Linked DNA regions of Pelodiscus sinensis. The protein of the gene in region 1 interacts with the protein of each later gene in a pairwise test. Links are inferred from orthologs where the notes say so. Each region holds a gene or a part of one and is shown on either strand. Other genes may lie near its edges. The genes, in order: INPP5K and MAD2L1BP.

The links.
Region 2: the proteins of INPP5K (region 1) and MAD2L1BP interact in binary tests that used the Homo sapiens proteins (3 or more experiments, as listed by UniProt). The link is inferred for Pelodiscus sinensis from reciprocal best matches to the Homo sapiens genes INPP5K and MAD2L1BP.

What each region holds. Positions count from the first base shown.
Region 1 is NC_134731.1:1,222,488-1,226,403, forward strand, and holds the start of INPP5K (inositol polyphosphate 5-phosphatase K), read left to right. Parts: upstream 1-985; 5' UTR 986-1,736; coding exon 1,737-2,011; intron 2,012-2,193; coding exon 2,194-2,301; coding exon of another isoform or gene 2,302-2,305; intron 2,306-2,883; coding exon 2,884-2,992; intron 2,993-3,916. UniProt on the Homo sapiens protein: Inositol 5-phosphatase which acts on inositol 1,4,5-trisphosphate, inositol 1,3,4,5-tetrakisphosphate, phosphatidylinositol 4,5-bisphosphate and phosphatidylinositol 3,4,5-trisphosphate.
Region 2 is NC_134713.1:139,343,460-139,347,375, reverse strand, and holds the start of MAD2L1BP (MAD2L1-binding protein), read right to left. Parts: upstream 2,864-3,916; 5' UTR 2,681-2,863; coding exon 2,285-2,680; intron 978-2,284; coding exon 441-977; 3' UTR 1-440. UniProt on the Homo sapiens protein: May function to silence the spindle checkpoint and allow mitosis to proceed through anaphase by binding MAD2L1 after it has become dissociated from the MAD2L1-CDC20 complex.

The DNA.
Region 1 (3,916 bases):
CCAAAACAGACCCCTCGGAATCCTACTTGTTATACCTTCCAGCAGGATTGTGAACCATTAATAACTACTCTCTGAGTACGGTTATCCAGCCAGTTATGCACCCACCTGATAGTAGCCCCATCTAAGTTGTATTTGCCTAGTTTATTGATAAGAATATCATGGGAGACCGTATCAAACGCCTTGCTAAAGTCTAGGTATATCACATCCACCGCTTCTCCCTTATCCACAAGACTTGTTAGCTTTTTTTGATAGGATATCATATTGGTTTGACATGATTTGTTCTTTACAAATCCATGCTGGCTGTTCCCTATCACCTTGCCACCTTCCAAGTGTTTACAGATGATTTCCTTAATTACCTGCTTCATTATCTTCCCTGGCACAGAAGTTAAACTAACTGGTCTGTAGTTTCCTGGGTTGTTCTTATTTCCCTTTTTATAAATGGGCACTATATTTGCCCTTTTCCAGTCTTCTGGAATCTCTCCTGTTTCCCATAGTTTTCCAAAGATAATAGCTAGAGGCTCAGATGCATCCTAGAATACTCAAGGAACTGGTAGAGGAGGTATTTCATCAGGCCCTGGTGACTTGCAGGCATCTAACTTCTCTTTTTTTATTTTATCTTCTAAACCTACCCTCTTCCCATTAGCATTCACTGTTAGGCATTCCTTCACACTTCTCGGTGAAGACCAAAACAAAGAAGTCATTAAGCATCTCTGCCATTTCCAAGTTTCCTGTTACTGTTTCTCCCTCCTCACTGACCAGTGGGCCTACTCTGTCCTTGGTCTTCCTCTTGCTTCTAATGTATTTATAAAAAGTCTTCTTGTTTCCCTTTATTCCTGTAGCTAATTTGAGCTCATTTTGTGCCTTTGCCTTTCTAATCTTGCCCCTGCATTCCTGTGTTGTTTGCCTATATTCATCCTTTGTAATTTGTCCTACTTTCCATTTTTTATAGGACTCCTTTTTTATTTTTGTATTAAGTTAATGTTCAGTTATAAACTTCTGAAAGAACAACCATAAAGTTTAGTTCAGATTTATGAACATTTCAGAGTTATGAACAACCTCCAATTCTGAGGTTCTACTTTACTTTGCAGAGCTGTCGTGAGGATAGTTACATTAAAGATTGTCAGTTACTCAGATACTTCCATATGGGAAGCTGTGTGAGAACCCAAGGTAGATGGAAATTAGCCGCTGAGCATTTTGAAATCCATCTGCAACATAGTAATGTTGAAAAAAAGTCTTAGATACAGTTTGTAAAGTTATGTGGCAGGGCTGTGCTTTTGGAACCCCTCATCTAAAGCTCTTGGATCCTTATGGCTTTTTGTGCTGTGTTCAGGTAGAATTGAGGAGTGCACATGCCTGGAAGTCGGGGATTACATTTCTTCTAACTGCAGATTGATTCAAATCACATGCTTCCATCAGCAATAAATTCTCTTAAACCTCACATTCTTAACAGAGTTAAATCTGTTGGGAAGAAATAGTTTAGTGTATGAGTTGGGGCAGGACTTATATCAGCTTTTATGAGCAGCAGCAGTGTGTGACCAATCTGAATGCTGTATTTCTTTCAGCTTTTCTACACCCACCTATATGTTTTTACCTTGGAATAATGCTGAATTTCACATGAGTTAAAATTTGAGCTGAAGAACCCTGAGAGTGTGCCACTGAGGGTTTTCTGGTATTCAGGATTTAAAGGGTAATGTGGCTGATGCTTTGCAGTGTAGTTGTGTTGCTCTTTTGCCTCGATGGCATCCTTGAATAGTGAAGATGTGCTTCAGGATTCGTCATCCCTCTCCCTGTTTGACTTAGAAAGCCTGCACCCTTTCCGTAGCCGCTCTGCAAGTTTGAGCAGTACAGGGTCCAGTGGTCGCTTACAGCTCCGACAGCGAGTGGCACAGCTCATGGCTTGTGTGGAAGACATCAGCTCAGACGATGAGATGCATGAGGAAGTCTCTCGCACTCTTGATGAGGCTATCCTGATCTGGGGAAAAAAGCTGAAGGACAAGTGCCAAGAATTCAGGTTTCATTCTCTGATTGGCGAGTTGTTATATTTTTGTAGAGCTAGTCAATAGCTTTTATGATGTTCAATTTTGTCATTATTTGTATTTTTTTTTTCACGTATGGGACTTAAGCAGCGGAAAAGTGGATCTTCCCGTGTTCACGTGTTTAAATTTCAGTTTTGTCTTATTGTTTTATATGTAGACTCCACGTGGTAACATGGAATGTGGGCACAGCTTCTCCTCCTCCTGATGTCACTGTCTTACTTCAGCTCAATTCACAGGGCTCAAGTGTGGATATGTATGTTATCGGGTAGGTATGTGATAAAGGATGCTCTGGTCAGTTTTCTACGTGTTACCTGCCAAAATGTTGTTTTTCCATAACTTGCCCAATTCTTTTGAACAGCCATAGCTCCTGTGACGATTGTGAAAGGTGATGAATTGGATTGTAGCATAAGGCTGGAGACTAGTGTCTGTGGATAGAGATAAGGAACATTTTGTGATGAACTGTCTGCTTGATTCCCCAACTCCCATCTTTTTATGTAGCAGAGCTACAGGCCTTATGTGCCTTGATACATGTTCACTTACTCAAATACCTACAAGTTTTAAACATTCTTCTCTTGCTGGCAGTTGTTGACAGCACTGTGTAGTGCAGAGTTTTTAAAGAAGCCAATGAGAGCCAAGTATTTTCAGAGATTCTCCCTTGTATCAGCCAAGGTGTTTCTGTCCTTGCAACAGTCACCTCATGGCAGAGCCTGTTGGGGTTCTTTTCTGCCAAATCACCCTGTACTCAACCTCATTCTGTCTCTTTCCTTTAGCTCAATTGCAGCACCACCTTGTAATGGTATCACTTGTCACTCCATCTTTGTTAACCCTTTTTTTTTTTTTTGTTCAGTCTACAGGAGGTGAACTCCAGGATCATAAATTTCCTTTCTGACTTGGCATTTGATGATCCATGGAGCATGTTCTTCATGACTGTACTCTCTCCTTTGGGTTATGTTAAGGTAACTTTTCAATTCTGTAAATAGCACCTTTTCTCCATTATTTTTCTCTCCAAACTCTGATTATTTTGGGTAACAAGTGCATACTTTGGCAGTTGGTACTGAGTATTTTTGCACAGATACTGATAGTTCTCTCTATATGCACATTTGTCCGTTAGACTTGTAGCCTGCTGGCTTGTTGGCACAGGCACTTTCTAAAGTATTCCTCCCTAACATTGGCAGTCACAGTTTGCGCAATAACGTTTGGATCTGTGGCGTTTCAGTGCTAGTTTTGAAGAGCTGGGAATAATGGCATTTTTTGCAGCTCTAGTACTGAACAATACATTTTCTATCTTTAGGTACTTGTATGGTTCTCATTACCATAGTGTCAGTGCCATAGAACCCATGCCATGAACATCCCCAGTAGTATTGTTTATGCGCCAAAGAGTGTAAATTCCTAAAGGAACAGAGTAGTGAAGAAGTTTATCTCCAGTTTTGCTGTCCATGAGTGGATTTAATTAAACTGTTGTATTCGAGCCCACAGTAGGACTATTTTACTTTTGTCTCTGGAATATTTCTTTCCTCTGTGCATCACTTGGGATCTATAGTATTGTTGCTAATAATATAATCTACTGAGGCAACTGCTTTCATTACAGCCATCTCAAGGAATGACATTGATTTTGATAGTGCTTGGTAAGATTTTTGTTATTTGTAAAATGAGTGGAAATAAACTGTTTAAATATGAAGGAATAAATTCAGCTAATTTCAGAAGAGTTTTTCTTACTAATGTTCTGAGGAAGTGTCTAGAATTTCATAAAGAAACCTTGGTTAGGTAGCTACTTGTAGTCAATGAATTAAGTGAAAGTAAAATGTGGTCAGGCACGTTCTGAAGAGATAATATATTAGCCACTTATGCACCATATTTAATTTAAAATATTTTTACCATTT
Region 2 (3,916 bases), on another chromosome or scaffold:
GCTATATAATCTTTGCCACACCCATATTAAGCATAAATTTAGATTATTCAAGTCCCAATCCATTCATTAACATTGCACATTGCTCTTGCAGCAGCTAGAGAACAGCTGTATGAATACCTTGATATTCTTGGGGGTGAGTGGGCATGCTGCACATAAATTGAATTACTCCCACCAACTCTCTAGGGTTCCTGACTCAGTTTCACCAAGAAATTGACATCTGTGAACAAAACTGCATTAGTGCTTATCCCTTGCATGGGGCCATTTAAAGCTTTGTTTTATGGACAGTGAAATACACCCCAGCTGCACGTAGGTAGCACATTCCCTGGATATAGGATTCTGAGGAGAGAATGTATAGTTACAGATCATAAAAACATTCTTACGTATTAACTAAAGTAGCACCAGATTATAAAATGCCCTATTAAAATGCTAGAGAGCATGAGTCATTCATGGAAGCCCTTAAGTGTCACTGGTGCTTGGAACCATATGTAGCTGTCCCAGGCAGAAGTCATTCCCTGCTGATTAGATGGATTTGTACTGCTGTTTCCACCACAGGACAAGTTGACAGTCAGCTTCCTCCCTCGTGTTGGCACTTTGTAGTTGAGCTTTGGTCGGAACCAGTCAATGCCACAGTCACGGTGCCCCTGTACCATGACAATGGTGCCCATAGCAGGAACAACCTGTAACTCACTGAAGACATCTGCAAGGAAGAGTGAATGGAAAAGCTTACGAACACAGGTCGGTGTTTGCAGGCTCTCCTCAGCATTGCCCACAGAGATGCCCTCCAAATTGATCTCATAGAGCTCCTTAGGGCTCATGGCATTTCCTCCAAGCAGAATAAGGATCCGGGGAACCAAGGTCAGATTGAATATGGCTTCCAAATGCCGGAACACTCCCTCCAGCTCCATTAGCACTTGCTGACATTTCCTGCTGCTCCCTCGGTCTGTAGGCTGTGGCTTCTTCTTAATTGCATCACCATCCTGCCAAGGAAAAAGTATATTCTGAAATATTAGGCAAGTGGTGGTGTATTTGACTGCATTTAGCATCTTGAACCACCAGACCCAACAGAAGAAAGAACAGATATTTTAAGAAAAACTAAGGGTTTTTTTTCCTTAAAAACCTGAAAAAAGGAATCTTGGTGTCTTGGTGGGACCCAACATTGAATGAGTTCATTACTAGTGTTTCCTGAATTTAAGGTCAGTAGAAATAAAAGATATCAAGATGGATATAATGAAGCTAGAAACCTCTCACAGCTTGGCATAGCTCAATGAGCATTTTAGTCAACATTCAGCCTCTCTGGATTTTCTTAGGAGGCCGATGTTCTGCTGTGCTCTAAGATCTGTAGATAAAACTACTTGACCAGCCAGAGAGAAGTGTATTCTCTTTAGGATATTGTGTCACATTAAATATAAACACTGACTGCATTGAGAAAAACAATGCATGCAACTGGAAATACAGAAGGTATGTTGATAGAGGCTACAAATCAAGACAACAGCTATCCAGTAGATTAGCTATCCAATTCTTGGAAAAGGCTGACTTGCCTTGGGAGCCAGTGCCACTTTATTCAGTGAGAAAGATTATGAGCCACCTGATCTTTTTTCAAAGTTTTATTGCCCAACAGACTAAATAGCTCTGAAACGCTGTCCATATACCCTGTGTTGCTATCCTGATGAGTTTAATAATCATCTCCATAACACATGGAAGTTTCTATTACCAATAGCCTATTTCAGTTACATGATGGACTTCCCCTTCTCCCTGTTTCTGAGACGTCTGAAGGTCTATCCTAGTTGTGCAAACTTGGGAGCTTAGACACTTTCATGTCCCATCTCCCACTGGTTCCTAAAGATAGCCAGTCCAGCCAAGACCCTGCAGCCAGTCACTGCTGGGCCTGAACCAACCAGAAACCTTACTACTTTGATCTGTAACTGCTGTCTCTTGAACCAGTGTATCAGATCATCCTACCTCGGGAGGGTGCGGCTGGGAAGGCCTATCTGGCCTGGCACAGTAGGCTGACTTTTGCAGAACATGCAGGGAACGGTCTCCAGCCCTCCTCAGCCCAAGGCAAAGTCACTACAGCGCTGGGGCTGGAGGCAGAGATTCCCGGAAGGCAAAAGCACCCGCAGAGATTGACCTGTTGCGCAGGCAGAGGAATGAAGCAGATTTGCTGGAGGGGAGGTAGCGGCCAGCAGCCAGCCCAGGAAAACAGCGTCTCACCGGGCAAGCGCGGAACGCACCCGGCTGCCAGGATCCAGGGCTGGCTCTCGCTCGGCCGGCGGCCCAGGCTTACCTGCGGCGGGCGGGGCAGCGCCCGCCGGTAGAAGTAGGCCAGCTGCTCGTAGGGCAGGGGCAGCTGGTGCCGCTGGTGCAGCACGTGCTTGAGGAGCTCGCAGGCGAAGTGGCAGCAGCCCTGCCGGGTCACGGGGCCGGGGAACACCACCGAGACCGAGCGGCAGCCCGGGGCGCGGCCGGCCGGGCCCTGCGTGGGGAGAAGCGGCGCCGCTGCCGCCCCGCTGCCGCCCCATCCCGCGGCGGGGTCCGGAGTCAGCGTCGGGGCCTCCAGGGGCTCGGTCTGGAGCAGGTCAGCTGCGTGGAGAGGGGAGAGGTCGCTCGGCGCGGGTGGGGAGGGGAGAGGAGCCCGGGCCCGCCCCTCACCTGCGCGCTCCTGGCGGCCCATCCCCGCCATCTTCGGCCTCACGCTCAGCTGCCCACTCCCGGCCCCAAGTTGAATGGCCGCCGCCCCGGGGCATCACGGGACATTCACGTCCCTGCTCCTTCCGGTGGCCGTGACCCCGCCGGCGCCATCTTTTCTTAGGGCACATTAGTGTTCCCTCCGCCCGCCTTGTGGGGACATTTTATTTTTGCACAAAAACCGCTTTTTTCGCAGGATCGGTAAACCTCCTTTTTTCGGGCGTAAGAATCTTGCGCAAAAAGAAAACGTAACGTCCACACTGTTTGTTTTTGCGCAAAAATGGATTGGCAGAAAATATGCAAATGAGATTGTAACTCATGCAAATGAGTCTCTCATTAGCATATTTTTTGCCAAGCAAACTGATCGTGTAGACGTAGCCACAGTGATGTTGTTGTAGAGTGGGAAGTAAATTCCAGGAGCCCTGCATTTCAATCTCTCCTCTGTGCTAATCACTAGACAATGCTGCCTATAGCAAACCAGCTGGAAATGCACATTAAAAACAGGGAAATGGTGTGTTATGGAAGATTAATCCCCTTCTTCTCACAAGTTAGTTTCATCAATAGTATGAGAAAAATAAGTCATTGTCTTTGGTCCACACCCAAGGGTCCATTGACAAGATCCTGTTCCACTCAAGCGGATCTCAACACAGAACAAAAATAAAAAAGACCCTGTAGCTGACATCTCTTCCTGTTTTCAGTGAGCGATCACTAGAAAGACCTCTACCTGGCCTTTAGTTTGTGGCATGATGGTAGCCAAGATCGGTTTGTTCTCCTAGCCAAGTTAAAAGGTGTCAGAATAAATCTATCTGCCTTGATACTATGGTATACAAAAATGCAAGGGGGGGATCCAATTTATAAGGAACCCATTTAATTCCCTCCCTTGCTTTTCCCCAGGGGCTGCATCTAGACTGGCATGATTTTGCACAAATACTTTTAACGGAAAAGTTTTTCCGTTAAAAGTATTTGCGCAAGAGAGCGTCTACCCTGGCACGGATGCTTTTGCGCAAAAAAGATGTCTTTTGCGCAAAAGTATCCGTGCCAGTGTAGACGCTCTCTTGCGCAAGAAATTAACTTGCCTGTCTACACTAGGCCTCTTGTGCAAGAATACCTGTAGGCTGTGTCTACATTGGCACCCTTTTCCGGAAAAGGGATGCTAATGAGACCAGTCAGAATTACAAATGCCGCGGGGGATTTAAATATCCCCCACGGCATTTGCATGAACATGGCTGCC